Linked DNA regions of Saccharomyces cerevisiae S288C. The gene in region 1 interacts genetically with each later gene. Each region holds a gene or a part of one and is shown in the gene's direction. Other genes may lie near its edges. The genes, in order: MET22, NPR1, DUS3 and ACS1.

Evidence for each region.
Region 2: mutations in MET22 (region 1) and NPR1 together harm fitness more than expected from each alone (negative genetic interaction), as found in Saccharomyces cerevisiae (2 studies listed by BioGRID).
Region 3: of MET22 (region 1) and DUS3, a mutation in one rescues a mutant of the other (synthetic rescue), as found in Saccharomyces cerevisiae (one study listed by BioGRID).
Region 4: mutations in MET22 (region 1) and ACS1 together harm fitness more than expected from each alone (negative genetic interaction), as found in Saccharomyces cerevisiae (2 studies listed by BioGRID).

Annotation. Positions count from the first base shown.
Region 1 is NC_001147.6:204,225-211,486, reverse strand, and holds MET22 (3'(2'),5'-bisphosphate nucleotidase), read left to right. Parts: upstream 1-4,310; coding exon 4,311-5,384; downstream 5,385-7,262. Other genes in the region: APM4 (Apm4p), read left to right, coding at 1-967; CRT10 (Crt10p), read left to right, coding at 1,222-4,095; phosphoinositide 5-phosphatase INP54, read left to right, coding at 5,602-6,756; bifunctional DRAP deaminase/tRNA pseudouridine synthase RIB2, read left to right, coding at 7,016-7,262. UniProt on the Saccharomyces cerevisiae protein: Phosphatase that converts adenosine 3'-phosphate 5'-phosphosulfate (PAPS) to adenosine 5'-phosphosulfate (APS) and 3'(2')-phosphoadenosine 5'-phosphate (PAP) to AMP. May regulate the flux of sulfur in the sulfur-activation pathway by converting PAPS to APS.
Region 2 is NC_001146.8:289,016-297,139, reverse strand, and holds NPR1 (serine/threonine protein kinase NPR1), read left to right. Parts: upstream 1-1,630; coding exon 1,631-4,003; downstream 4,004-8,124. Other genes in the region: chromatin-binding/pre-rRNA-processing protein IPI3, read left to right, coding at 1-1,180; YNL184C (uncharacterized protein), read left to right, coding at 4,257-4,583; mitochondrial 54S ribosomal protein uL11m MRPL19, read left to right, coding at 4,471-4,947; ubiquitin-specific protease UBP10, read right to left, coding at 5,264-7,642; SWT21 (Swt21p), read right to left, coding at 8,073-8,124. UniProt on the Saccharomyces cerevisiae protein: Nutrient-regulated protein kinase that promotes the activity of at least 6 distinct transport systems for nitrogenous nutrients under conditions of nitrogen catabolite derepression.
Region 3 is NC_001144.5:921,858-930,088, reverse strand, and holds DUS3 (tRNA dihydrouridine synthase DUS3), read left to right. Parts: upstream 1-5,640; coding exon 5,641-7,647; downstream 7,648-8,231. Other genes in the region: DUS4 (tRNA dihydrouridine synthase), read right to left, coding at 1-300; SEI1 (seipin), read right to left, coding at 489-1,346; zinc-coordinating transcription factor SFP1, read right to left, coding at 2,470-4,521.
Region 4 is NC_001133.9:42,381-50,460, reverse strand, and holds ACS1 (acetate--CoA ligase 1), read left to right. Parts: upstream 1-5,438; coding exon 5,439-7,580; downstream 7,581-8,080. Other genes in the region: oleate-activated transcription factor OAF1, read right to left, coding at 1-1,897; flavin adenine dinucleotide transporter FLC2, read right to left, coding at 2,211-4,562; ubiquitin-protein transferase activating protein PEX22, read right to left, coding at 7,742-8,080. UniProt on the Saccharomyces cerevisiae protein: Catalyzes the production of acetyl-CoA. Provides the acetyl-CoA source for histone acetylation in the nucleus. 'Aerobic' isozyme of acetyl-coenzyme A synthetase, which supports growth on nonfermentable carbon sources such as glycerol and ethanol.

The DNA of each region.
Region 1 (7,262 bases):
TTTTCCCAAATTTTTGACAAAAAGAAGCAGTAGTTTCCTGGGTCAAGGAGACTCCACTTCTGATTTCTATGATAACAATAAGATCACTTGGAGGCCCAAGGGGATAATACACAAGAAGGATGAAGTTTTCTTGTATGTCAATGAGAGGATAAACATTCTGGTATCTAGGGATGGTTCTATCTTGAAATCATACGTTGATGGCACCATAGATATCACCACACACTTGAGTGGGACCCCTATTTGTAGATTTGGATTGAATGATTCTTTGGGAATGCAGTCCGAAGACGAGAAGAAATGGTTAGCACAGCAGCAGCGTCACTCTGGCAGCGATTTTGGAAACAAGAACTTCATTCCCAAAGCTGCTGCCGGTAGTGTTTTGTTGGAAGATTGCAAGTTTCACGAATGTGTCTCACTTGACAAATTTAACAGAAATCATATCATTGAATTCGTCCCACCAGACGGTTCGATGGAGTTGATGAAATATCATGTACGAGATAACATAAACCTGCCGTTCAAGGTTACACCTATTGTTACACATTCTACAAGAGATAACGAGATTGATTACAGGATAACATTGAAGTCTTTATTTCCTGGAAAACTTTCCGCCAAAGATGTGGTACTACATATACCCGTTCCACCAAGCACTGTGGATTGTAAGATAAGTGTCTCTAATGGCCACTGTAAGTTTGTGCCAGAAGAAAATGCAATGATTTGGAGGTTCAACAAGTACAATGGGTTGACGGAAAACACTTTAAGTGCAGTTACTGTGTCCACAAGTGATACTACTCAATTGAATCTTCAACAATGGACAAGACCTCCAATATCCCTGGAATTCGAGGTCATGATGTTCAGTAATTCTGGCTTAGTCGTACGATACTTTACCATTTCTGGAAAAGACAGTAAGCATCGTGCTGTAAAATGGATTAAATATATATCGAAAGCCGGTTCTTACGAGGTGAGGTACTAGCCCGTAATTTTTGTGTACATATATTTTTATCATGCCTGTATTTTTTATAGTAATTTCCTTTAGAATGCACATTTTGTTAATATTGAATATTTTCTATTATGAGAGACATGCAATTTAGTTTTTCATTGAAAAGAAAACAGGGAAAAAACATGGAAAAACCATACAAGACACCAAAAACACCATAGTAATGAAGATCAACAGCGCAATCAAGAGGCACTGGTACTTCTAGGCTTGAAAATTTGGTTTTGAATATAATGCCCCCTCAGATTCCCAATGAAAATGATGATCTCTTTACAAGGTGGCTTAAGTCTCGGGCCATCATACAAAGGGCAGTATCGACAAGAGAGTGCTTTGACTCAGAAGTATTTCTGGCGTCTGGTGGCTGGAATATAACGAATGAGATAATAACGTTAAAGAAATATTATCAACTCAAGTGGCCAAACTCCAGTTGCAATTCGTTTCATCCAAAAACCGTGGAGTTTATTAAAGAACGATTACACAACCTAGAAGAACATGACTCTTCATGGAAAATCCCAAATCCTGCTTACTCATTCAAGAAAGCCTTCTTGGAGGATACTAAATCTGCATTTTCCAACTTAGAACCCGTCTGGGGACCATCAAGGCTTTTGAATCCAGCTGAATTACTATTGCCACAGGACGAAAAACTACTTGTTCAAGAGATACCACTAGAGTTCGCACCTTTTCAATACACAAATAGGTTTGCTTATGGTGGTTTGCAGTTCAAGAACAATTTGTTCGTCACTTATGGGAGTTATTCCTTCCTGGCTGCCGGTCAATGCGTCGAAGTTCATAATTTCGATATACTATTGAACGTTTCGTCATTAGAAATATGTCACGCCTTATTGCCCGTGATAATACCAGATGACGGAGATGTAAGAAACTTCCGCAATTCATCATATGTGAAATTTAAGGATACACAGTTCAACAGCATACCTGAACTATGTTCTATCAACTTTATGAAGATTTGTAACTTCATGCATCAAGATTTTCTACTAGCTTGCGGTGACAACGGAATCGTTTATATCTGGGAAATCAACAAAGTTATTAAGATATTTAATAAATTTACTTCGGATATCTTGGGAGGCAAAGATAACAGCCGGGAAAGATACATAAATGTTGATCCATATATGGTGTTAAGAGTAGAGGAATCTTGTTGGAGTGTTGATGTAATAGATATAAATGGCATCATATATATCGCTGTTGGCCATAACAAGCCTGGAGTTACAGTCTTTGCATTCGATAAAGATGTAAAGAAGGAAAGACGGTACATTCGGCCTCTAGATCTTCCCTCATCTCACAATGTTCCTTGTGTTAACTTTGTTCCTAATTCAAAAGATTCTGTTGGATATATTACATTAAGTTATTGTTCTATATTTGGGAATGTTGTTACCGTTAAATTAAAGGAGCATGATTGTACCATTTTAACGAGTTTCCTTGATACTCAATTTTTTGGCGACGACTTATGGACAATAACTCCACTGACTAAGAAGGATTTTGCGAAAGTTGACAATTTCGAATTGTTGAATCTTAACTACCAAGACGGTTTCAAAGAAAGCATGTTATATTCTATTTGCCGAGATGATTTTTTACTTGGGTATTACTGTGATAACGCCTACCTCTCTGGGAATTTCGGTATTGGTACATTACTCAATCAATTTCAGGTTCCTGTCACAGACCTACGACTGACTTCTTCAGCAGGGATCCCCGATGAAGTTATACCATTAAGATTTACCTCATTTGATAGAAATTACACTACAACGGGCTCGATAAAATACGAGTACAGCAGAGAGGATTTTGCACTTATTTTACATGCCGGTGACTTAGACGATATGAATGATGCAGTGACAAAAAACACCTCATGTGAACAGCATTTACACCAATGGACATTTTGGGAGGATTCTGGTTATAAACATTATCGTGCTACTGAGCGTGGATTTTCGAAATACAAGGATATTATTAATACTTTTCCACAGTTGATAACTCCTAGTGGAAGAAATAAAACATCGCAATATCAAAACACTTCTGGGAGAAAGATCTGTGAGCCGTCTACTTATAAACTTACTGATCTCGAAAATGATATTGAAGATATATCTCGCGAATTTAATAGAAGTATTCGTAATTTGAAAATGGATAAACAAAGACAACTACGAACTTCAAAAGAGTTCAAATCGCTAAGTTCAGTAAATCATATACCAAATATTGAATCGGGAAACTTTTTATGGTACAACACCGATGCCGCTGCCGATTGGAGAACACTTTTTGGCAAGGATTTGAACACGGTCTTGAAGGACCCAGAAATTTGTAGCCTTCAACTGAACTCTACAGAAGAGGACGATGTCAATAGCGACCCTGAAAATGAAGAATCTGGTAGCAGCTTAACAAGTTTCCAGCGAAGATATAGGGATACTGAACAGCGTGCTCACTTGAAATCAGAATCGCAGAAATCTTGGGGGTTCCACAACTATGTAAGAAACGTCAAGCGGTTATTAGAGTCAGCAGTACCGGGCTCAGAAGATTCGCCTCTTGGGTATCAACTATCCGAAATGCACGACGAGTTCTTCTTCCTAACCACAGCCCATAGGCTGGTGTTGATGAAAGCAAATCCACTCATAATTATATCAGCAACTCATCATGAGATTTTTCCCTTAGATGGTGTTGTGACGTGTGCTTCCAAGTCGCTGCTCCAAGCACTAAACAGAATAAATTTTGTGTGTCACATCAAAGAACTAAATTGCATAGCCGTGGCTTCACAATTGGGTCTCATTTCATTACTAAGACTAACAGAGTACAGAGGCATCTATTCGTTTAGACAAGAGTATATTCTTGGATGGGAAGTCCAAGACCCTGTTAACCCTAGTCCAGAGTGCAGATGTAACAGGAACTTGTTTGACGCACCAATGTATGGTGCAGATGGAGAGAGCTCGGACACATACTGCGGCGTGTGCGACGTCTATTTCCCCATGGGTGATATTTGCGGACTAGATTACACTTATGCATCTGACAGTGAAGAGTTAAAACGTAAGGGATATGCTACCTTATACGTAGCATCAAGAGGCTCCTTGAGGGCATTCAAGATCACAACTGAGCATGGAACAACTCAACAATAGCATATTTTGACATTTACATAGCCATCTATATAATAATCCTTCCTTCATTGAAATGCGCGAATGACTCAGACGAGCAATATCACGTGTTGCGATTTTACTTTCAGTTTGCAAAGAAGAAACCATGCCACATATAAAGAACGTTTGCACTTCTCTTTAATTTATTAGTTAGTAAGTAAGAAGTTTAAAGACAACTCAGAAGACATCAGCACTTTACTATGGCATTGGAAAGAGAATTATTGGTTGCAACTCAAGCTGTACGAAAGGCGTCTTTATTGACTAAGAGAATTCAATCTGAAGTGATTTCTCACAAGGACTCCACTACTATTACCAAGAATGATAATTCTCCAGTAACCACAGGTGATTATGCTGCACAAACGATCATCATAAATGCTATCAAGAGCAATTTTCCTGATGATAAGGTAGTTGGTGAAGAATCCTCATCAGGATTGAGCGACGCATTCGTCTCAGGAATTTTAAACGAAATAAAAGCCAATGACGAAGTTTATAACAAGAATTATAAAAAGGATGATTTTCTGTTTACAAACGATCAGTTTCCGCTAAAATCTTTGGAGGACGTCAGGCAAATCATCGATTTCGGCAATTACGAAGGTGGTAGAAAAGGAAGATTTTGGTGTTTGGATCCTATTGACGGAACCAAGGGGTTTTTAAGAGGTGAACAGTTTGCAGTATGTCTGGCCTTAATTGTGGACGGTGTTGTTCAGCTTGGTTGTATTGGATGCCCCAACTTAGTTTTAAGTTCTTATGGGGCCCAAGATTTGAAAGGCCATGAGTCATTTGGTTATATCTTTCGTGCTGTTAGAGGTTTAGGTGCCTTCTATTCTCCATCTTCAGATGCAGAGTCATGGACCAAAATCCACGTTAGACACTTAAAAGACACTAAAGACATGATTACTTTAGAGGGAGTTGAAAAGGGACACTCCTCTCATGATGAACAAACTGCTATCAAAAACAAACTAAATATATCCAAATCTTTGCACTTGGATTCTCAAGCCAAGTACTGTTTGTTAGCATTGGGCTTAGCAGACGTATATTTACGTCTGCCTATCAAACTTTCTTACCAAGAAAAGATCTGGGACCATGCTGCAGGCAACGTTATTGTCCATGAAGCTGGAGGTATCCATACAGATGCCATGGAAGATGTTCCTCTAGACTTCGGTAACGGTAGAACGCTAGCTACGAAGGGAGTTATAGCGTCAAGTGGCCCACGCGAGTTACATGACTTGGTGGTGTCTACATCATGCGATGTCATTCAGTCAAGAAACGCCTAAATAACATATATTTTACTTTATTGATAGACATAAATATATGAGTACATATATATATGTGTGTATGTGTATGTACATACCAGTTAAATGATAACCTTTTTTTATTGTTGTTATAGCGTGAAAAAAGGAAAATACAGTGAAAAGAACAAAACTGAAGAGGTAAGAGTAGGCTAACAAAGAAGAAAAGTGAGACAAGAAAATACAGCAGGATTCTGACCGAATGAACAAAACGAATTGGAAGGTATCTGTAACTACATTCAATTGTGGTAAGGAATTTCCCGTTGAAAATTCGAAAGCAATCGTTAAGCAATTGCTTTTCCCCTACGATGACGGCATCTCCCAATTGGAATTGCAAGATCTATATGTGTTGGGGTTCCAAGAAGTAGTCCCCATATGGCAAGGCTCCTTCCCTGCTGTTAATCGTGATTTAATCGATAGAATTACAACTACTGCGGTTAATTGTCTGAATGAAAAAGTGTCAGCTACACAAGGGGATGAGCAGTATTCATGTTTAGGGGTGAATAGTCTTGGGGCGATTACCATAATAGTATTATACAATAATAATGCGCTAAAGGTAAAAGATGATATTTTGAAACGGAATGGGAAATGCGGTTGGTTTGGTACACACTTGAAAGGTGGAACTTTGATAAGTTTTCAGATGACACGCAATGGCGAGGAGAACTGGGAAAGATTTAGCTATATTTGTGCTCATTTAAATGCAAATGAAGGTGTCAACAATAGAAATCAAAGAATAGATGATTACAAACGAATAATGAGTGAAGTGTGTGATTCTGAGGTTGCAAAAAGCGACCACTTTTTCTTTCTAGGCGATTTGAATTTTAGGGTTACTAGTACTTATGATCCAACTACCAATTATTCGTCCACCACAACGTTAAGGCGTCTATTAGAAAATCATGAAGAACTAAATCTGCTACGTAAAGGAGAGGATGAACCGTTATGCAAAGGTTTTCAGGAGCTGAAGATAACATTTCCACCGACATACAAATTCAAGTTGTTTGAAAAGGAAACATATAATACAAAAAGAATCCCGTCGTGGTGCGATAGGATTCTCTACAAAAGCTATGCAGTGCCAACTTTCGCACAAGAAGGTACTTACCATTCCGTCCCTAGGTCCAATGCTCTATTATTTAGCGATCATCAACCCGTTAATCTTACCGTAAGATTACCAAGGTCTACAGGGACGCCAGTGCCGTTATCCTTACATATCGAAAAGTATCCTTTATCATGGAGCTCTGGCCTGATTGGACAAATTGGTGACGCAGTCATCGGGTACTGCGGTTGGCTAGTTACTAAGAATGTACATTATTGGATATTAGGTTCTTTACTATTATATTTACTATTAAAAATCCTGTAAAGTGATCTGGGCTGTCAGGCTAGAAGTTTTTCATTTATGTCTGAAACAGATAACGTCAGTTGTACCACTATCTTTGGTTTTATTCTTTTTATTTTCTCTTCCATATATCTTTACAGAACTTAAGTAATAATGAAAAAGAATGAAAAAAAAAAAAAAAAAAGAAAAACTAGTCAAAATTATTGCCATGAAAAAACAGGAAGAAGAGAGAGAAGAACATTAAAAAAAAAACTATCAATATTAGATTAACAAACCAATCAAAATGGAGGACTCTAATAATGAAGCCAGCGATGACTTCAACAACTTATTAAACAAAGAAATTGAGTCTGCAAAGGAAGTGAAGTTAAGAAAATTCGCGAACAGGAATAATAATAGGAACGAAAACAGTTCCAAAGTCAAAGATGCGAGTGGATTCAGACTGAGAGTTATTCAAACCGATGGGCACAAAACTAAAAAGACAGACCCTGATTATGAAGTGACAATTGATGGACCCTTAAGGAAGATTGAGC
Region 2 (8,124 bases), on another chromosome or scaffold:
TATTATATGGCAAACTGTTGACTTGGTATCAGCGTCCAATGATGATCCTAAGCCTTTATGTATCCTTCACGATCATACTCTACCCGTGACAGATTTCCAAGTTTCTTCTAGTCAAGGAAAATTTTTATCATGTACTGATACGAAACTCTTCACAGTATCTCAAGATGCTACCATTAGATGCTATGATTTGAGTTTAATAGGCAGCAAAAAGAAGCAGAAGGCAAACGAAAATGACGTTAGTATTGGTAAGACCCCAGTATTGCTTGCGACATTTACAACTCCTTATTCTATCAAATCCATTGTACTGGATCCTGCTGACAGAGCATGCTATATTGGTACTGCGGAAGGTTGTTTTTCATTGAATTTATTTTATAAACTAAAGGGTAATGCTATCGTTAATCTGCTACAGTCCGCCGGAGTAAACACAGTTCAAAAAGGTAGGGTTTTTTCCCTAGTGCAACGTAACTCACTAACTGGCGGCGAAAATGAAGATTTGGATGCACTATATGCAATGGGCCAACTTGTCTGTGAGAATGTCCTAAATTCAAATGTGTCATGCCTAGAAATATCAATGGATGGTACATTATTATTGATCGGTGATACGGAGGGGAAAGTTTCTATTGCGGAAATTTACTCAAAACAAATCATTAGAACTATCCAAACTTTAACTACATCACAGGATTCAGTTGGAGAAGTGACCAATCTCTTAACCAACCCTTACAGACTCGAACGTGGAAATTTACTTTTTGAAGGAGAATCCAAAGGCAAACAACCTAGTAATAATAATGGTCACAATTTTATGAAGATACCAAACTTACAAAGAGTTATCTTTGATGGTAAAAACAAAGGCCATTTACACGATATTTGGTATCAGATAGGAGAACCAGAAGCAGAGACAGATCCTAACCTCGCATTACCACTTAACGACTTTAATGCCTATTTGGAGCAGGTCAAAACGCAAGAATCGATATTTTCACATATCGGTAAGGTGTCAAGCAATGTAAAAGTGATTGACAATAAAATCGACGCCACTTCATCTTTAGACAGCAATGCCGCTAAAGATGAGGAAATTACAGAACTTAAGACCAACATAGAAGCATTAACTCATGCCTACAAGGAGTTACGTGACATGCACGAAAAGCTGTACGAGGAACACCAACAGATGCTTGACAAGCAATAAACGGAATAGTCGCGCATTTTGTACAATAAAATAGGAATGTTATTAAAATATACAGCATAGATAGATATAATTCATCACTTGTGCGAAACATCTCATTCTCAATCTGACTGATCATCTATTACGGAATTTTTTCGTTATCAATGACGCATCCCACAATTCCTACCCTTATAGCTTATCTCAGAATATGGGCCGCCTTTAGTTGTATAGAGTTAGTACGGATTAGTCAGTGGCGTACCTAGTGGCAACAATCGGCAGTGACTAAAAATCTTGCTTTTGTTATTGAAAGAATAATAAACAGGAGTTCTCGTTCCTTTGCGTCATTTTCAACCCCATACAAACTAGTTGGCTTGTACCAGAACTCATTAATACTTTTGTCTAACTCTTTCCTATTTCTGATTTTCCAACAGCTCATACCCATTCAAACAAAAAAGGAAAGCTCTACGAAACATTATGTCTTCATTAACTCGATTGCTACAGGAAAAACGAAAAAATGAAACTTCGAACTCATCACCGAGAACTTCTGCTGATACGTTGACCACGACGCCCGAGTCACAATCGCTTGACCTTCACTCTAGGAATAAGAGTAGTAGTCATATTGGTAGCGTGAGTAATAGCAGCAGTAGTGATCGTAATAGGGCTAACGTGCCAGTTCCTGGCAGTGTCACAACTGTTACTCAAATATACTCAGAGGAAGATTCATCATCAACAGCCGGTTCCTCTCTCGACGATAGGAATCAGTTTTCCTCCAGCTTCCTTAATGCAAACTTTGCTCACACTGCATCATTCTACGGCACAAGTGCACAAAGTAGAGATAGATTTGGATCCTTAATAAACGATCAAGGTACTGCAGGACTTTCCTCACATGGTGGTTCTTTTGCTGCACAGAACAGAATCACAAGTAGATTATCTACCACGTCACATACTTCAGGAAGGGCCATTCCTTCTTTATCATCAAGTATACCTTACTCCGTGCCAAATTCTAACAAAGATAACAATAGCTCGAATAGCAACAGCTCCTCTTTGTCTTCTTCGTGGCTCGAAACATATGCAGGCGGTATGCCCAATAATATTTCTGCAATCGATTCAAATGTTATATCCTCCCCAAAAGTAGATAGCGTGGAACCACGTTTTGTTATCTCCAAACAAAAACTCCAAAAAGCATCGATGGATAGTAATAATGCAAATGCCACTCAATCAAGATCTATATCCCGTTCAGGTTCATTCTCTTCACAGCTTGGGAATTTTTTCTTTTCCAAAAACTCAAAAGAATCTTCAAATTCTAACTCTGCAGGCATGTCTTTTTCTGCCAATTCCAATGGTCCTTCTCCAAACATTAAGAATCCCAATGTTACCAATGGTTCGACGCCTATCCCGAAGCCTATCCGCGCAAGACAAAGCAGCATATATTCTGCATCAAGACAGCCAACTGGTTCCTATACTGATAACTTTTACGGTTCCCCCTCATCTGTACATGACCACTTACCTCCAAGTCAAAGTGTTCCAAGGTCACAACATTCTTCCATCGGTGATTTAAAGAGGTTCTTCAAAAAAAGTTCTAACAGTAACCTTTCCTCGAATAGTAACAACGTGATCCCGAACGGATCACCTCTTTCTAGCGGAATTGCCGTTCCGTCACACTCTCATTCATCGTCTCATTTTGCCGCAGGGAATAACTCATATTCCACTAGTTATAACGGAAATGGAGATACTATTTATTCTCATAGTCACGGCGGTTCAGGAATTCCGTTCTCAAAAAGGTACATCAAAACCGGTGCCGATTTAGGCGCTGGAGCAGGAGGTTCTGTCAAATTAGCTCAAAGAATTTCAGATAACAAAATATTTGCAGTGAAGGAGTTTAGAACTAAATTTGAAAATGAATCCAAAAGAGATTATGTCAAGAAAATTACATCAGAATACTGTATTGGTACAACTTTGAATCATCCCAATATCATTGAAACAATTGAAATCGTGTATGAAAATGATAGAATTCTCCAAGTTATGGAATATTGTGAATACGATTTATTTGCTATTGTAATGAGTAATAAAATGTCCTATGAAGAGATTTGTTGTTGCTTCAAACAAATACTTACTGGTGTACAATATTTGCATAGTATCGGCTTAGCTCATAGAGATCTAAAGCTAGATAATTGTGTTATAAACGAAAAAGGTATTGTAAAATTAATCGATTTTGGTGCTGCTGTGGTATTTTCATATCCATTCTCAAAAAATCTTGTGGAAGCAAGTGGAATTGTTGGAAGTGATCCATATTTAGCACCTGAAGTCTGTATATTTGCGAAGTATGACCCACGTCCCGTAGATATTTGGTCTTCTGCAATCATTTTTGCATGTATGATACTGAAGAAATTTCCATGGAAAATTCCGAAATTAAGGGACAATTCATTCAAACTATTTTGTTCCGGACGTGATTGCGACTCCTTAAGTAGCTTGGTTACAAGAACTCCTGATCCACCTTCCTACGATGAATCGCACTCAACAGAAAAGAAAAAACCCGAAAGCTCTTCCAATAATGTATCAGATCCTAATAATGTTAATATCGGGCCACAAAGATTGTTGCACTCATTACCAGAAGAGACTCAGCATATTGTTGGACGTATGATTGATTTGGCGCCCGCATGCAGAGGAAATATCGAAGAAATCATGGAAGATCCTTGGATCCGTAGCATTGATATGTGCCACTTGGTTGAAGATGGATTATCGTTCAAAGTGGTTAGAGGAGAAGACCATCATCACACACAAGTGGATCAAAGTGAAGCACATATTGCAGGCCTAGAAAAGAAAAAGAAAAAGCAAAATAATCAATAAATAAGCGTCCCCACTTTTATTTCTTTTCCAAGCATTTGTATATAACCTTTTTTTATCCTATTTGAGTATATGTTAAAATACAATGTCATATTTACTTCTGTTAAACTAATTTCATATTTTACCGTTCTATAGAAGCCTAAATAGATTGACCTCCTGTTCATAATCTACTATTTTATCAGAAAAATGTAAAAGCTTAGTATGATAATAATTAATGGAAAAGTTCGTTAAAATATCGCGCCACTAATTAATAATAATGAAGCGGGTAACATTAATTGTCTTACCAAGGCGACAATTCCCTTTTCTAAAATTTCACAGCAAAGAAGCTTTAGAAAGTGCAGTAAATCTACAACTCATAAGAAGGAAAAAAAGCGTGAACATTCAAATCGACAGCGTAACCTTCTGTATTTATTTCTGTTTGTTGTACTTTCGAACTCTCGAATACCATAGAGGAACTATTAGTCTCCATAATGTCACAGGCAGCAAAAAACGTGATAGTAAAGCTAATAGTAGGAGCAGGCCAAGCGGCACCATCACCTCCCGTGGGGCCCGCATTGGGCTCCAAGGGTATAAAAGCCATTGACTTTTGTAAGGAATTTAATGCAAGATCAGCAAACTATCAGCCAGGTGTACCGGTTCCAGTATTAATCACAATAAAACCTGATAGAACATTTACGTTTGAAATGAAATCTCCACCAACCGGATATTTGCTGCTAAAAGCTCTTAAAATGGACAAGGGACATGGACAACCGAATGTGGGGACAATGTTAGGCAGTGCACCTGCCAAGGGACCAACCCGTGCTTTAGGAGAGTTATCGCTGAAGCACGTTTACGAAATAGCCAAGATAAAAAAGAGTGATGAAAGGCATAGTTTATTGGAGATGGAAGGTATTGTTAAATCAATAGTTGGCGTTGCAAAAAGTATGGGTATTAAGGTTGTACCTTGATCTGTAAGTAGTGAAAAGACAAAAAAGTACCGTCAATTTCGAGAAATTTTCAACAGACCTTCCTTCTTCTTTCTACTGATCTATTCTGTAAATATGTATATAAGTTTTAAATTCTCTTTCTCCCGTTATGTTAGCAAAGCTCGGTAGTACTGAAGCTATTCTGAGTAAACGCTTCTCCAACTCTGTATACTGAGAGTTGTTTTATAAGTCAATAAAGACCGGATATTTATATGTATATATTGATTTGGTATAATAAAAATGAAATGCTAATAAAAATGCCTATGAAAAGAGGAAAATCCAGGAATATCGAGTTTTTTCATTTGGTGAACTTCCTTTTTTTATTTTTTTTCCATTTTTTTCTGTTATTTTTCTTGCTATTAATCTTCAATGGGCGGTTATTTGGTTCGTTAACAGCCTGTTCCTGTTTGGATTTAGAGGTAACATTACCAGTGGCCATGGCAGATTTCGCCAATGGCAATGGAACCGATTTTGGAGTTAGCCTCGTGTATAGGAGATAATATGCGTTGGGTTCCTTTAAAACGTCCCTTTCAGATATTATATTAATATACTCGTCGTCGTAAGTGGCCCAGCTACCGTCTGGTTGCTTGCAGTGGGCAATGTAGTGACCTGAAGAAAGGGAGCGGCCCTCATGAACCACCACGCTTAATAGTTGGTATTTGACAGGTAGCTCTTTACTCTCACAATATTCCGTCAAATCTAAAAACATAGGATAAGAAACAGCTTGCTTCATTTTTGATGAGGACGTGCCATTGAATCTGAATTTTTTCAGATGCACAAGTAAAGTTTCAGGAGCCCTTAATATTGAACTATGCTTCACGGCGTTCGTGGTCTTGTGACACTTCTCACAAACGTAACCCTTTTGCTCCTTGTCAACCTTGATTAATTCGGGATTGAAGAAATCTTTAATTGATTTTTCAATAGAAAATCTGCGGTTGGCTGAACTTAAATCACTGGCAGCGGCAAATGGTGAGCCATTGTTTAAATTGACAGATGAAGAGGATGAAAGAGATGGTTTTGTGGCAGCATTGGAGGTAGTGGTAGAAGTGGTGGCTGAAGTGCCGTTAATGCTATCACTCGACAGGTCAGAATTTGGATCAAGTTTTTTCTTCCCTTTCAAGTGCAACGATAAATCGTAAAATGGTTGTTCTGTTTTAGATATACTGCCACAAGATTTGCAAGTAACGATCTGCTTTAAAAGACCACCGAATATGTCATATATTATCGATTCTATAAGTTTATGACCCTTGGGAACAGAATCTTCCTGTAATCTTGACATCAGAGACATGAAGTACTCATGTGAATCTTCCTGCTGCCATTCGCTCATCATACAATTAATGTCATCCAATCTGGAAATCAAATGTTTTGGATTAATGTAGGAAGCTGAAACGTTCTTTCTAGGGTTTTTTGAGACCGGTAACCACATTTTTTTACTTGTTTCAGCTAAAGTATAGGAAACGGAATTTTTTGAGATGGTGCTATCGTATTTCCCCATTAGTATATCAAAAAGATAATGTTGTATCGAAGGAATGTGTAACATAGCCTGTACAGCAGCATTTGTGTAACAAGTAACACCATGATTCAAAAGGCCACGAGGCTTCAAATTGGTGAATTTGTCGCCCCAATTTTTAACAATTCTAGTAGAGTTTAAAGAACCACGATCATTGATATTTTCATTGAATTGGTAAAAGTTTGATAGATTTGATATTGTAACCGGAGGGGTGATTGACCTAGATTTATGTTTCAGCTCTTCTTCCTCTTCTTCCTCCTCCTCTCCCTTTGGATTCCTGTTTCCATTTTCTTTGGTGTTGTTTACTGGTTCGTACCGATTTACTTCCACTGTACTATTTTCCATTAAATCTTGATATAAACTCTTTTTTTCGCCTTCAGAAATTTTGGAGCTGGAATCGTTCTCCTCTTCTTCAGGGAGCTCTTTTTCCATAGCACTAGAATCATAATCCATGTCATCCTCATCCTCGTCGTCTTCTATTTCGTCATCACTGCTAATGCTTGTAGACAGTTCCTTTCTTTTTTCCTTTTCATTCTCATTAGATGAATCATCAATGGTTGCTAATGGAGAACCCAAGTTTTCACCAATGTCTTCACCAATGTCTTCACCGATGTCTTCACCGATGTCTTCACCGATGTCTTCGCCGATGTCTTCACCATCGCCCTTATCTGCGTTGTCGCGTTCCTTCAAACTAGCTTTTCGGGGTTCTACATAGTCTCTTGCCTCATGAAATATTTCACCCTCTTCCTCTTCCTCTTTTCCTACTTTGTCATCTTCCGAAGAAGAGGAAGGAGGCTCCGTAGAAAGCTCCGTAGAAAGCTCCGCTGACTTCTTGGCACCAGTAGCATCTGCAGCATCTTTATCATTTTTAGAAGTATACAACAATAAAGCTTCAGCCATAGATTTAGGAACAGTGTTGGTTTTCTTTCCGTTTGGCCTGTCTATCAAGTTATTTTCTTTTATTTGCTTGGATTCGGCCGTTGCAGCAATAGCTGTGCTATTACTATTGTTATTATGCTGTTTTCCTATCACAATATACGAGCTATTTTCCGGCGCGGCGGAAGTATCATTATTATTCGATTTGTTAGAGATCATTGCAGCATTGAACTGCAGGGGATTTGATAGGATTCTATCTACCAAAGGTTTGATCGATTCTTGAGTGGTCATAGTCTGTGATTGTGATATGACAATAGGACGGATTTACAGATACTATGAGTTGTAGATTCTTTCCGTTAGTTTTTCTATGAAATATTATGTGCAGTACAGAACAAAAGAGGCTTCAGACACTATGCATGCTCCTGTGTGCAGTATATGATGCTTAATAGCTTCTATGAAACAAATAAAGGACAGAAGCGGGGATGGAAGACTCTGTTAATGCTTTACAGGGAAGTTTTTCCCGATGGTGGCACTATATAAAAATAAGAACTTTTTTCTTTTCTTTTGGGGATTTTTTTCGATGCGAAAAAAATTTTTTGACGGCATGAGGCAAGAAGTGAACAAAAGAGGTGGTGTCTGGGGGATGCAATTTAACTTCTTACTTGTGCGCGTTCATCGGAGAAAGCTGGCCGGGTGATACACGAATACGGGTTTGCCGTTTTTAGCCGCCGAACCTGCATAATGAAATTGTGCCCCCATGAGATAGGGCGAAC
Region 3 (8,231 bases), on another chromosome or scaffold:
TACTTGGACGATTAGCGGGGTGTCCTCATTATTTGTAGAAAGGTCTGAGATTCTTGCATGCTCATTACGGACATATTCTCTTGCCAAAATCATGGGGGAGTAAACTATATCAACGTTATATTCTCGGCACAACTGACGGAATGGTAACTTGGAATACCGAACCATTGGGCCTGCAATGGTCACGGGCCGACCATGTGTCTTTTGCCTCGTCTTTATTATATGCAGTGGATCTGTTTCTTCAGTAATAAGCTTCGGCTTCGGTATCAGAACATCACCGGATGGAATATGCATTGTGTGCATTTTCTTTAGAATCTTTATTCTGCATATGAATTATAACTTTGAAGAATCCATCTCTTATTTTCATTTTGAGTTTTTTCGCTGATCATCTTTTTTTTATTCAGGGCGAAGAAGCAGAATGCTGGAAGAGCCTACTTACTTAGAAAATAACAGCTAGGTTTTAAAATTATATAGCGAGAAGTACAATTCTATCAGCTATGTTTCTTGGATTTTTCCTGACCCTTTCTAACAAAAATGAATGCAGTGCAACCTGTGATAAAAAAAAGTACACATATTATGCAATGGAAAATTGAAATGCCAATAATATAAGATAAAAATCTTTTTCGAAGCATCAAGTTTCTTAATCCCTGCTCAAAATTCATCCTAAACTTAATCCCACTTTCTGGATGTATTATTAGATTTCTTTGGGCAATCTCCGTTTTCAAGAACACCGAGATTGTTTCATATGAAGACTCTAACGATATTTTGTCCTCTATTCTTATTGTATTTAGCCATTCTTCATCGTAAACGTCTAGACGTGATGGGCCTAGTTGTTCGATCTCCTGAGGCGACATGGAATCCGTCAGTGCGAGGCAGACAATAGGTCTAGAAGTGTGAAAGATTTTTTCATCTTTGCTGTTACTTCCTCCAGGAGCACCCAATAGCGGGCCTGGACCTCTGTAAACATCAATTAACAAATTGTCTAAATTTAAATGGTCAGTTTTGCTCTGGCAATAAAGCTGTAGGTTTAGATCGAGCTTGTATTCCATGTTGTCACGCATGGGGATTAACTGTGATAAGCCATTGTCTATTGTTTGCGGCAGATCTGTACCTACCGGAATGCTTTTAATAGATTGGAAGAATTTTGTACCAAATTGTACGCCATTTAAAATGTTGAACGTATTAAGGGGGACTACGTTAGAGGAATCGGCAGGTAATAGTCTTAGGTAAAAATCGTGATATATTAAGATCGATAAAGGAAGAATGATTAGCAATTGTATCAGAAATGCAACAACAATATATGAACTCCATTGTAAAAACTGTAATGGACGGGATACATTGATTTTCATCCTTCCTATTCACTTTATCTTATTTTCTTGAAACCTTGGATTCACATTTTGATAATTTGCCGTAAGCTGTCTCTATTTTTCTGTCTTACGCGCATTTATATTTTTAATAACCTTACGTTGAGATTTTCAAATTATACACATAGTAGCAACTAATGATGAGGTAGTTATACTTAACTTTCAAAAGAGCGACTCTAGTATTAGATGAACAATTAGGTTGCTTTATATGGATGACGAAAAGTCTTATTTACAAAATAACTCTCAATAAATGTTTCTTGACCATATGGCTTGGTGTTGTCAACTTTCTAGATAATACTTATCAGCGTGATTGGATTGTAGGTTTGGGAGGAAGGTTGCTTTTTAAGTTACTTATAGTATATTATTATTGATATTGAATTAATTTACTTTCATAAGTGTATAAAATAAAAGTTCAACATTACTAACAAAACTATAATATTTTCTCAACCAATTATTAACCTGTGATAGTTGCGCTGTAATTCCAGTCTAATTAATATGCTTCGTAAGATTAATTGTAATATTTAAGTAATCTTTTAATGGTTCAATAAGATAGTTTCTGCCTAGAAAAACGATCCGACAACGTGCATGGTAATTCACTTACAAATACACAGAATTGCAGATAAAAAACGGAACCTTTTATTTAAGATTTAGAGCATGAATAAGAAGAATTAAAGTTTCTTTTCTTAGAATAAAAATAGTTTTTAATACATCAGAACAGAAGGAAGTAAGTAAAGCCAAAATATATATAGTAAAAACACAGTAGTAAAAAATGAATAGTAAAAAACACACAACAATAATACTAAAAGGAGAGACCAGACAGAGCGCAAATCGTTTTCATGACGGAGTATTTAGAGGAAATGATGACAAAACAAGAAAATGTTATTCTATTATAAGTTCATTTTTCAATAATAGATATGCTTTTTATTTTTTGAAATTAATGGTAACAGTCGAAGAGCACAGCTTTATCATGCATTTTCGTTCAAAGATGATCACATAAATTGCGCCCAACAACAAGAGAAAGAGCGGCCGCTCGATGCATGAGTCGGTAACGGTAGAATTAGTATCTAAATAGCATACTAAATCAATTCAGTAAAGAAACAATTATATCTTAGTGAGTGGAGTGGCCCCTGTGATATTTTAAACCGTTCAAGTTCTTATATCTCTTACCACAAACTTCACAACGGTATGGTTTATCCTTTGCAGAGCCCATTCCATCACCAAAAGAATCTGTCGAATCTGGATCTATTACGCTAAATGTACCGTCAGGGTTTTCATGTAATTTTTGATTCTGATGTCCGTGCAACCTATGGTACTTCAAACCGTTTTGGTTTTTATAAGTCTTTTCACAACCAATAACTGGACACTTAAAGGGTTTTTGTTCCTCATGATCCATTACATAGAGCCTTCTCGCAGGATCGTCTATATAAGCTTGCTGAGGCATCTTGTAATTGTTGTTATGAACTGATTTTCCATTGGAACTGGAGCCATTTTCTGTGTCATCGTCATCGTCATCGTCATCGTCATCATCAACATCATCGTCATCATCAATGTCATCAATGTCTTGATCCTCGACCATGTTTTGAGAAGATTTTGCGTGTACGGAAGAATGAAAAGTATTGTAGTTGTGAGAACCTGTAGTTGGATTTACGACAGAGTTCATGGAATTGTGGTTACTAGGGCCCAAAATATCATCATCCATAAAACTTAAATCTATATCTTGGACAAGTACCAGAGGTGATAAATCGGTTTGATGAGGATCAATTTTTCTTGATTGATGTTGAATAGGATTCCTGGACGTTTTGTTCAAGGAATAGTTATTAAAAGTATGTGGACGATTCACCATGGCGTTTTTACTACCCATGTTAATATTAGAATTGTGTGAGGTATTATTATTGATATTGATACCACTATTATTGTTACTGTTAATTTGTTTATTGTGCGGAACGTGTCTTGATGGAGAATTGCTCGTTCTTAAAAACACATCATTCGTTGAAACGGCATCGACTAGATTACCATTCAGATGTAGTTGTTGAGAGTGATTAGCCATAGATAAGCCCGAGTTGGGGGCACCCGTTATAGATATCACATTTGGATTTGCAGTTGTGGACGACGCAGTTGCTGAACCCATTACACTCGGTGTGGGTACAGCCCCTGATGTATGATTTACAGAATTCGATTGCAACTGTTGTTGTATTATATTCTGCTGATGGTGAGGATGCTGAGATTGTCGTATTGTGGAGTTGGAATCCATGTTGCTCTGAAGATTGGCATGCATATTATTAATGGAGGTGTTATTAGTTGCATTGCTGCTATGAGCCTGCATAGTATTAGTCTTATGACCTGCATTTTTTGTATTAGCGGCCATGTTATTCTGCAGGTTATAGTTGGCAGAAGAGGTATTATTTGTCATACGAACTGATGAACTAGTGTTACCAGCAGAGTTCATCGGTATTTGTGACATATTGGTAGTGTTAGGAGACGTGGATATATGAGCTTCTTCGTAATGTCTCAGCAAATCATGCAAACCTGGTAAGGAAAGACCACAGCATGAATAATCTTTACAATATTGCTTTTCTAGATTTGGCAGATAAGCAGTGTAGGCTATCTGAGGAGAAATAGAATACCCTCTATGGTAAGGCGGATTACTAACAGAGGGTCTCTTAGTTGGTTGTTGAATCTGCAAAGTATTAGTGGCAGTAGTGGTTGCAGAAGCGGCAGCGGAGGCAGCACCGTTTGCTGATGCAGGTACAATACTATTTCTACGGCTAATAATTTCATCTCTTAACCAAGAACCAACACTAATGGATCCCCATGAAACACCACCCATCCCTTGAGAATGGGCTATTGATTCTCTCCGTAACTTGGCAATGTCCTGTGGAGTTAGTAGCGTTTGGTCCATTATATTTGGAGAGTACAAATGAACATTATTTGTATTATTCATGATATTTTTTTGGTGAATATTATTGACGCCGTTAAAATCTGTGTTTTTTCCATTAGAAGAATCCGAATTGTTATTTATCAAAATGGAAGGAGTATTCTGGTTCGAATCAATATCAATATTAAAGTTTGATGACGAATTTATAGATGCATGTGCCGATGTAGCCGTCGTAGTAGTACTAGTAGCCATATTGCTTGCCATAGTCATTGTTGTAAAATCCATACTCAGATAAGCTTTTCCTGTTTCGAAGAAAAATAAAAATACTGAATATGAATATGTCTTTTAATAACAATAAATTTGAAAACGCCTTACAAGTGAAATCTTGAGGTGATTAATAGTAGGTGAATCCAGAGAAAGTGTTTCGAGGATATAATATGGTATCAGAAAGCCAAAAGACGACCGGTATATTATAAACTTAGTATGAATGTATCGTGGCGCTTTTTTCTCCTAGCTTTATTCTTCTTGCTTTCTCGCTCTAAATATGATATTGCGATAAAAGGAAGTAGTTTAACTCACCGTAAAATCGATCAATATTAGAAAAACAGAAAACCACCAGAGAGAAGCACCGATATGTAATTGAAGTAGAAAAAAAATCTAGCTTTCCTTCTCTTTATAAGCGAACTTAATGATTAGATTGACTAGCGCTATCCTTCTTTGATTGTAATATTTGTCAAACCTTGTTAACGGAGCCACTAGAATGTACAAGACGTTATATAGGGATGACAGGTAGAAAAGAGATAGGGCCTGGGAGGTAAAATGCGTACGTTAGCCTAGAGAGCTTTAAATCGGTGACGATGCGAAAGCAAATGATAATGGCAATAGCGGTGGCAGGCGACAGTGGCAAGTGACAATGGCTGATAGTGACGTTATTTGATACAAAATCGCCTTTTAACGAATGCATCGCCCATTTGTTCCAAATTTCAATTGATTCGAAATTGCTCCTTATTATGTAACTGACAAAATCCTGTCCCCTTGCACGACGTAGGCGCGTTTTGTTTCTTTTTCCTACCGCAGACCACCTTGCGCACGGGAACGCCGCACTGTTTGGCACCCAGTCACCGCCCGTACCGTCGTTCCACAGAACATGCCGCAGAAACCTGTCGGGTAATAGTACACGGGATGAAGAGACTTAATGCCGACAAGCCGGGTAGGGGAATTGTAGCTCCGAAAAGCGACGGAAAGTTCAATATACAGAAAGCCCGTGCACCATTTTTGAAAAGTTTCATAAGATCTAGTTAAAGTTATGAAGAATTTAGTTCGAATGTGTAGTGATGAGATGAGCAGTAATGAAACATTAATGAACTCAGAATAGGAAAAAAAGGCAACTTCTAAACATTATTGATGGAGCAAAACGCTGAAAAACGCTCTATTGTTGGCGACGACAACTCAACCGTGAAGAGACAAGACACTTCCCCGTCCAAAGGTATTGCACATATCAAACCAGAATATATTGTACCATTGAAGCAGAATGAAAACCAGAAGGTCGCCATCTATGATGAAGAGATGTCTTCCGACAGAATGACAAACGAGTTTGCAGGTGGGACTAATAAGAAAAATAAGAACGGAAGAGGTAAGAAGCGTGGGCAAAACAAGAATAGAGATAACAGGCAGGTCAAGGAACAGAATGTCTTGTGCCCACGCTTGATCCATGGCGATATATCTAAATGCTCCTTTGGTGATAACTGTAGGTTTGTTCACGATATCAATCTGTACCTTTCAACAAAAAAGCCTGAAGTTGAAAGTAATATATTTCCTTCCTGTCCGGTCTTCAACTCGTTGGGATTTTGCCCCATGGGATTCAAATGCAGATTTTTATCGTCTCATCTGAATAAAGAAGATAATATCCTAATATCGAAGAAGGAGATTGATCCAGATGCGCAAACAATATGGTCCGTTAAAGGTGAGGTAAACCATATCTCACCGGAAAGAAAACTCGATCTTATAAAAAGAAGATTTCCTTTCACAAAAAGTAATGAAATATTGGAAATCATCGACTCTTTCCAACAAGAATGTAGAGATTCCATGAAGCCAGAAGAAGAAGTTGAGTCAACGCCACAGCTGAAGAAACAAGACCCAGATGTGGAACAACCAGTTGCCCCCCAAGTCGAACAGAGGAACAAAGAATTGTCAGAACATAGAATGAAACAGCGTGAAGTATACTTGAAGTACAAGGACACTCGTTATTTTGCTCAAGAAAAAAAGCCACTGGATTTGTACCACAAAAAAATCGTGTCGCCATTGACAACCGTAGGCAATTTACCATACCGTCGTCTAATGAGAAAGTTAGGTGCAGATGTGACATATTCGGAAATGGCCTTGGCAGTTCCCTTAATTCAAGGAACTAATTCTGAGTGGGCGTTACCTAAAGCTCACACATCAGAGTTCCCCGGGTTCGGGGTTCAAGTGGCCTGTTCTAAAGCCTGGCAGGCGGCAAAGGCTGCAGAAGCACTCGCAAACTCCGTCAGTGAAATAAGTGAAATCAACTTAAACTCTGGCTGCCCCATCGATTTGCTATACAGACAAGGTTCTGGTAGCGCCCTGCTGGATAACCCTGCAAGAATGATTCGTTGTTTAAACGCGATGAACTACGTATCGAAAGATATTCCTATCACGGTGAAGATCAGAACAGGTACAAAGGAAGGTCATCCTATCGCGGAAGGGTTAGTCAAAAGACTGGTTAACGAAACTGATGTGGCTGCGATTACCTTACACGGTAGGTCTAGGCAACAAAGGTACACTAAGTCTGCGGATTGGGACTACGTGAGTCAAGTGGCTGACACCTTGAGATCCGCCGAAGCGGATTTCATCGAAACCGAACAAGGCAAAGAAGGCAGGGATTCCAAGAACAGAATTCAATTTGTCGGAAATGGTGATGTCAACAATTTTGAAGACTGGTACCGCTATTTGAACGGAAATGAAAATATTGATAGTGTTATGGTTGCTCGAGGGGCCCTGATCAAACCATGGATTTTTGAAGAGGTTGAGTCGCAGCAGTATCTAGACAAGACAAGTACGGAAAGATTAGACATTTTAAGGGATTATGCGCAGTTCTCTATGGAACACTGGGGCACCGACGAATACGGCATTTCTCAATGTCGTAGATTCTTCTGCGAGTTCATGTCCTTTTTTCATAGGTATGTCCCCATGGGTATTTGTGAAAGATACCCTGTGAAGTTGAATGAGAGACCGCCAAACTGGTGTGGAAGAGACGAACTTGAAACTCTAATGGGTAGTACGGATGTTAATGATTGGATCAAGCTAAGTGATCTATTTTTCGGTAAAACCGACGAGAACTTTGTATTTGTCCCCAAACATAAGAGCAGCTCTTATGCAAACAGAGATTCCTAAATAGAAAATCAAGTGTACATGTATCATAAATCATATCTGATGGGTAAGCGCGGTTATTTTTCCTTTGCAAGACGAGAATTGGAATATGTACGGGTGTCAATTTCAAACGTGAGGTATGGGTTCCAAGAAAATCAAAATAAGCACAGCTGGGAAGGGTTAGGTAGGAGCGGAGAAAAGTGTATTGAGAAAATCTTAACGAGTTCGGACAGGTTATCATCGCAACACAAATGAACATAACTATCAACCTGATGCAACTGTACCTGAGTGGCTCAAATAGCAGGTAAATACAGGTGGATTTAGAAAACGCGCAGTGATTTGAATCTCGCAAGTCGCCTCTGAAAAAAGGCATTTCGCAAACTGGGGTGTCTGGAAAGTTCATTACATCCCGTTCACATAGCTCCTTCCTGGTACTTGAGTAAGTCTTTTAAAACAATTCAACATCTACTTTGTATCAGGCGCTTGGATTTACACTTTTGGCATATTTATTCCTACGCTGCAGTTGCTATTAGCCGCGGAAAGGAAGTACAATAACGTTTTACGTCGATTCGTGTTTGTATTACCCAGCACCTTTTTCTTCTTGAAGA
Region 4 (8,080 bases), on another chromosome or scaffold:
CAATCTTTTCTCTTATGAATTCAATTGAATGCAAATGGAAACTACCATAGTATGTCATCGTCAAGTTATCTAAGTCCGACAGGAGTAACGCAAGCTGGGCTCTCTTGAATGTAAATTTATGAATTCTCAAAAGTTTGTGATTATTGATATCGCTTAGATCGCCCCTAACTCGGTTCATATATACCGTCAGAGAATCAGGATCCTTAATATTTAGGAATAAGGCCATTAAAGATATCGGTGAGACAGAATGTCTACCTTTGAGACTTGCTTCAAACGAACAAACGGTAACGATACTCAACCAGAGTATTCTTCTGTGATTCAAGGTTCTTTTATCTGAGGTGGACGGGGAAATCAATTGAGGGAAATCTGAAGGATCTCTGTGGAGACCAATCGAGGTGGAAAGCATCATTATCAAACTACTGATAACATCGGTGGGGTGCTCGAGAAAGAAATCACCCTCTTCAGGAGAAAAAGCAAAAAAAGACCAGATATATAGTAAACATGATATGATGTTTTCATTAGCGCATGCACACCAATTTTCCGATGCTAGACATCTTTGACTCAATAAAATAAAATCGTTCGGTATTGGGTATTTATCAATTATTTCCTTTGAAAGATAAAAACTCGAGTCTGCTGTACTATGATCTAAAAACCTTATTGACATGTATGAGAGTTTCAAGATAACCAATAGAAGACTCAAGTTTTCCACCTTAGCTCTCAAATGTGTGCTACCCATACGTATTTGCACCTTGGAGGGGTTGTTTGGGTCCGGAAAAATTGTTTGACTTAATGATTCTTCAAAAATTTCTAATTCGATGAAAGGTAGACTTGGATAAACGTACTCATAAAAGTGGTTCTTGTAGCGTTCAATAATTTCGTAAGATGGCAAAATAGCTTCACATTCATTGATCAAATTTCTCAATAAATCCGAATATTCGCCACCTTGAGGGCAATGATCCTCCAGATATTGGTAACCGACAGAATTGTAAAGCATTGATAATAGCATACCGATTTTCAAGTTTCTATTTGAATTTGTATTTTGTAGTATTCTATCAGTGAATTCGTTTACACGATTTTTTTCATCTTCGGTTTGACACTGTCTGATTAGCATTTCCTTCAATTTCAAAAGGTTATTTGCTACGCTAGGCTGGGCTCTTGTAATATTCGCGTTTGCCGTCAATGCCGGTATCATCGTGTTCTTTGAAGTGTCAAGGAACACTGAAGTGACCAGGATTTTTAGAAAACAGTCCTGAATTATAATATAATTTTCAGATAACGGCTTAACTTCTCTTTTCATGACTTTACTCATGATCATGGTTGGATGACTTCTATACAAGTTGATTTCAATATCATTTCTGGTACCATTGTTTATATCCCCGTTACCACTTTGTTCATATATAGGTTCCATTTTATGCTGCTTCTTGGTATCAGGACTGTCCCCGCTAGCATTGTTTGTATTGATCGGACTTGCTGATCTCTTGCCTGATTCATTCACCTCTCTCTCTGTTAGTAGCTTCATAGCTTTATCTTTCCAATAAAACATATCTTTTTCCAACCTTGATATAATGGCGTCTTTACTCGGAATTCGTGGTGCTGGCTGTTTTGATACGTCATAAACACATTTTAACCCATGCTTGACGCATCGACCACATTCAGGTTTTTCTCTATCACACTTTGTTTTTGACTTCCTACAAGCCTGGCAGACAAACAATATTCTATTTCTTTTCCTATTATGTGTTTCGGAGTTCTCGGGGGCAGGCGATGTGCTTGAGTGCTCAGCTTCTAATCCAGGCGTTGGGTTATTGAACCCTAAGAAAAACGCCTCCGAATATGGCTTGGTAGAGCTATTATCATCATTTCCGGCATGTGGGGCCTTCTGCGTACTATTTTCGACCATGACTTACGCAACCTAATCTATTATTAACCTGCTTCTAACACAAAATAGCCAACAGTAAATCCCTTCTGGAGGATCTGTTTCCTTCTCTACACGTCAAAAAAGATGTCAGAAAAAAGCGGCAATTGCGTACATTTAAGGAAGCAGAGCCAAAGCGAATTTCACATTTAAGGTTTTTATCGCTGAAATATGTGTGGTGTTGGGATGTAATGGAGATAATACACCTTTTTGAGCGGTTTTCTATGAAATATAATGTAGGATATCCTTGCCCTTAAATATTTATATAATAAGTTGTTACATGTGAGTATATATTGGATTACAAATATGGGTTGTTGTTGCGGGCGTTTTCGTTGCTGCCGTTGTTGTTAAAATGCGAATATGATTTATTGGAATTCCCCAGGTAGAGACTTGATTCAGGCTTCATTAAACTGGAGGTGCTTGTATTATTCGGCGCTAGATTAGTACGAGAAGCAGATGACGCACGTTGGTACTGTGGAGACAAGAAGCTGCCACCCGTACCCATGACAGCGGAGGTTGGTTGCACAGGTTGCTCCGTTACTTCCGAGGCATCGAAGGGAGAGGAATTTTGCTTAAAAGAGGATGAACTAGTCTCATCATCAAAGAGTCTTGCTGTATTTGTGTTTGCATTCAGGTTCTTGCCGAAAGTGTCGTCACGGAACATTTTTTCTTCCTCATTTTCATTGGTGTCCATAACAGCTTTTCTCAATTCAAACAGTTCAGAATCATTTTTGTTTTTGCCATCGAAATCATTTTGAATCTTAGGAATGAATGACACACGGTCATCTTTCATTGGTTGGTAACGGACATCTGGGTTTCTGTGTAGTAATGCCAGTGTACAGGTGACAATAGTGAACAATAATAGGAATAGAGCAAACACCGCGTTCAAAACGAACAGAATAACCGCCATCACTGACGAAACCACTGCTGGTTGCTTGAACAAATTACTGAAAAACAAAAAGAAAAATGCATTGATCAAATTCACCAAATGAATAGCAATATTGAAAACATTAGTTCTCTTGTCCAAATATGGTCTTATCCAACAGAGACAAACGAAGTAAGCTAGTTCAATGACAAAGATGATCATTGCTTGAGCCTTACCTTGGTTTTGTAAAACGGCAACAAACAGGGATCTTAAGAACGCATAACTTAATAAGGGTAAAAGCCACCAAAACTTATCTGCTTTGAATTGAACGTATAAGAACCCAAACTTGTTCAAGAAGTAGGTATCACTGTAAAGTAGGTACGCAGGATTCTTGTATAATCTGAGAGACTCTCTTCCCTTGATGAAAACCCTTATAGTTCCATAAACCAGAAGTCCCGTGATGATCAGTAATATTACTACCGCATCAACAACAATCGCTGGAGAGTTGACCTGAGTAAATTCCCAAATCGCCAGAAGAGAAACTTGAGGGAAGGCGATGATAGATAATCTGAAAAGGGTGCCTTTGATAATACTCCCCCAGTTCTTCCTATATTGGAAGAAATTGGAAGTCTCTTTCAATATTCTTGCTCTTGTAAGAACTTCCAATAGCGCCTTAAAGAAAATCAAAGAGACGACAACTACAAATAGGAAGAATAGAAAAAACACAATACCGGTCAAAAAGAAATTAGATAGCTCAATATTAGCCAAATAAGCAACTCTTTCTATACCTCTTAACACGAGAATCTTGGCTGAGTAATTGCTTGGATCCTTCTCAGAAGTGGTGTACAGATTCGAATCGTCTAAAATGGTGTCAAAATTGTAATCACTAGACGATGCCATAGAGATAGCACGTTTTTGCACACTAATGGACAAGACGTCCTTGTTAGCTACCACAACATTTGAGACACCATTAGTGGCCTGTACGTACCAATCAAAAATCTTTTGCATGAAGTTTGTATTGATGATACCCATGGACCATTGGAAATTCTGCGTCCACGCGGCAGCAATGGGTGGAACCCTTGAGACACCCATCATTGCAGTGATAGCTAGATTTTGGAAGTATATGAACAATGAGATGGAGTTGGACGCAATGTGAGCAGCAGTGGCTGAGTAACCGATCACAGACACAAACCCTGAGGTAAGTACACCGACACCTGAGATAGCGGCAATGGGCCAGGCCGCATACTTTGTTTGCACTGTCTTCCCGTTACTCAAGATAGCCTGGACACAAGCCAGCGGAGTTTCGAATTCCGTGTCATTCTGAGCGTATGCCACCACACGTACTTGTGCGTCCAAATCTGGAATGGTGTAAGCAATGCCGGGAAATTGCTTGGTAATGGATGATTCGATCACCTGTGTGGACATGACATCAATACGCCCAGCACTTAGGGGGCAAAGCGATACTTGGCCCAAGGAACATAAATCAAAAGTCTTATCCAGGACTTTCAGTCCGTAAGTAAGCAGCTCAGCCTTCACAGTGACGTTCCCATTAAGCGTCGTCGTAGCGTCAATATCAAAGATAACAGTATTATTATCGGGGTAAAATTTCACATCAAAGAATGATGCCGTTAATTGCGAATTGTCCATACACGTCAATAAAGAAGTGGTCTGCAAATGCTTTGCAGACGCCGGAGTAGTGTCGTTTGTGTCAGAGGAACGTGCTGTACCGCTGCACAGTACGAAACACGTTAAAAGGCACCTTGCGAAGGTGTTTAGGAAGATCATGGCTATATAATCTTTTTATCACGTCAATATAATCGTAATGAAACAGAAATGAATGTATTATAATACACTGAAACACGGTATAGCGCAGCAAATTGTTTTAGTTTAAGGGGTATAAATGTTTTCCAAGGGTGGTGTTCTATATATATATGCCATTCATATACTTTTAATAATGTTCTATACGTATTCCCGTGAAGGCATTAATGATTATCTTTTTCTTTAAAAATGCAAGATGGCTGAGTAGTCGCGCGAAAAAAAAAAAAAAAAGAAACAGCAAGGTTAATTTTAGAATACCAACAGGAAAAAAGAAAAGATTATCCTCCCAGAAAAACAATCTGTTTATTACCCGACATTCTTAAAAAAACAAAAGCAAATCACATGTGCACATACGTCCAGAATGATATCAAGATAAATGGCACGTGTATGTACGGCTGTGTAAATATGATAATCATCTCGGACGAACGGCGTAGCACTCTCCATCCCCTAAAAATGTTCACGTGTGACTGCTCCATTTCGCCGGATGTCGAGATGACCCCCCCCCCTCAAAAGGCACTCACCTGTTGACATGCCGTGGCAAATGATTGGGGTCATCCTTTTTTTCTGTTATCTCTAAGATCCAAAGAAAAGTAAAAAAAAAAGGTTGGGGTACGAATTGCCGCCGAGCCTCCGATGCCATTATTCAATGGGTATTGCAGTTGGGGTACAGTTCCTCGGTGGCAAATAGTTCTCCCTTCATTTTGTATATAAACTGGGCGGCTATTCTAAGCATATTTCTCCCTTAGGTTATCTGGTAGTACGTTATATCTTGTTCTTATATTTTCTATCTATAAGCAAAACCAAACATATCAAAACTACTAGAAAGACATTGCCCACTGTGCTATGTCGCCCTCTGCCGTACAATCATCAAAACTAGAAGAACAGTCAAGTGAAATTGACAAGTTGAAAGCAAAAATGTCCCAGTCTGCCGCCACTGCGCAGCAGAAGAAGGAACATGAGTATGAACATTTGACTTCGGTCAAGATCGTGCCACAACGGCCCATCTCAGATAGACTGCAGCCCGCAATTGCTACCCACTATTCTCCACACTTGGACGGGTTGCAGGACTATCAGCGCTTGCACAAGGAGTCTATTGAAGACCCTGCTAAGTTCTTCGGTTCTAAAGCTACCCAATTTTTAAACTGGTCTAAGCCATTCGATAAGGTGTTCATCCCAGACCCTAAAACGGGCAGGCCCTCCTTCCAGAACAATGCATGGTTCCTCAACGGCCAATTAAACGCCTGTTACAACTGTGTTGACAGACATGCCTTGAAGACTCCTAACAAGAAAGCCATTATTTTCGAAGGTGACGAGCCTGGCCAAGGCTATTCCATTACCTACAAGGAACTACTTGAAGAAGTTTGTCAAGTGGCACAAGTGCTGACTTACTCTATGGGCGTTCGCAAGGGCGATACTGTTGCCGTGTACATGCCTATGGTCCCAGAAGCAATCATAACCTTGTTGGCCATTTCCCGTATCGGTGCCATTCACTCCGTAGTCTTTGCCGGGTTTTCTTCCAACTCCTTGAGAGATCGTATCAACGATGGGGACTCTAAAGTTGTCATCACTACAGATGAATCCAACAGAGGTGGTAAAGTCATTGAGACTAAAAGAATTGTTGATGACGCGCTAAGAGAGACCCCAGGCGTGAGACACGTCTTGGTTTATAGAAAGACCAACAATCCATCTGTTGCTTTCCATGCCCCCAGAGATTTGGATTGGGCAACAGAAAAGAAGAAATACAAGACCTACTATCCATGCACACCCGTTGATTCTGAGGATCCATTATTCTTGTTGTATACGTCTGGTTCTACTGGTGCCCCCAAGGGTGTTCAACATTCTACCGCAGGTTACTTGCTGGGAGCTTTGTTGACCATGCGCTACACTTTTGACACTCACCAAGAAGACGTTTTCTTCACAGCTGGAGACATTGGCTGGATTACAGGCCACACTTATGTGGTTTATGGTCCCTTACTATATGGTTGTGCCACTTTGGTCTTTGAAGGGACTCCTGCGTACCCAAATTACTCCCGTTATTGGGATATTATTGATGAACACAAAGTCACCCAATTTTATGTTGCGCCAACTGCTTTGCGTTTGTTGAAAAGAGCTGGTGATTCCTACATCGAAAATCATTCCTTAAAATCTTTGCGTTGCTTGGGTTCGGTCGGTGAGCCAATTGCTGCTGAAGTTTGGGAGTGGTACTCTGAAAAAATAGGTAAAAATGAAATCCCCATTGTAGACACCTACTGGCAAACAGAATCTGGTTCGCATCTGGTCACCCCGCTGGCTGGTGGTGTTACACCAATGAAACCGGGTTCTGCCTCATTCCCCTTCTTCGGTATTGATGCAGTTGTTCTTGACCCTAACACTGGTGAAGAACTTAACACCAGCCACGCAGAGGGTGTCCTTGCCGTCAAAGCTGCATGGCCATCATTTGCAAGAACTATTTGGAAAAATCATGATAGGTATCTAGACACTTATTTGAACCCTTACCCTGGCTACTATTTCACTGGTGATGGTGCTGCAAAGGATAAGGATGGTTATATCTGGATTTTGGGTCGTGTAGACGATGTGGTGAACGTCTCTGGTCACCGTCTGTCTACCGCTGAAATTGAGGCTGCTATTATCGAAGATCCAATTGTGGCCGAGTGTGCTGTTGTCGGATTCAACGATGACTTGACTGGTCAAGCAGTTGCTGCATTTGTGGTGTTGAAAAACAAATCTAGTTGGTCCACCGCAACAGATGATGAATTACAAGATATCAAGAAGCATTTGGTCTTTACTGTTAGAAAAGACATCGGGCCATTTGCCGCACCAAAATTGATCATTTTAGTGGATGACTTGCCCAAGACAAGATCCGGCAAAATTATGAGACGTATTTTAAGAAAAATCCTAGCAGGAGAAAGTGACCAACTAGGCGACGTTTCTACATTGTCAAACCCTGGCATTGTTAGACATCTAATTGATTCGGTCAAGTTGTAATGATGATTTCTTTCCTTTTTATATTGACGACTTTTTTTTTTTCGTGTGTTTTTGTTCTCTTATAACCGAGCTGCTTACTTATTATTATTTCACCTTCTCTTTTTATTTATACTTATAATTATTTATTCTTTACATACTGTTACAAGAAACTCTTTTCTACATTAATTGCATAAAGTGTCAATCAGCACATCCTCTACATCGCTATCAACAACAAATTTGACAAACCTGCCTATATCTTCAGGAACGACTGCTGCATCGCTACCACCACTACTTGTGAAGTCCCTGGAGTTCAATATGCACTGAAATTTACCTAGCCGTCTTACACATGACCATAATCCATCCATGCTATCGCAATATATGATTTTGTGTTCGTTTTTCGTCTTGCGAAAGGCATCCCCAATGGCTTGTTTCATTGATCCATCAGTGTGGCTCGTAGGTACCAGCAAAACCACTTCATCAGCGGCGTACTCCTCCCACTTTATGGGCAGTCCTTGTATCGA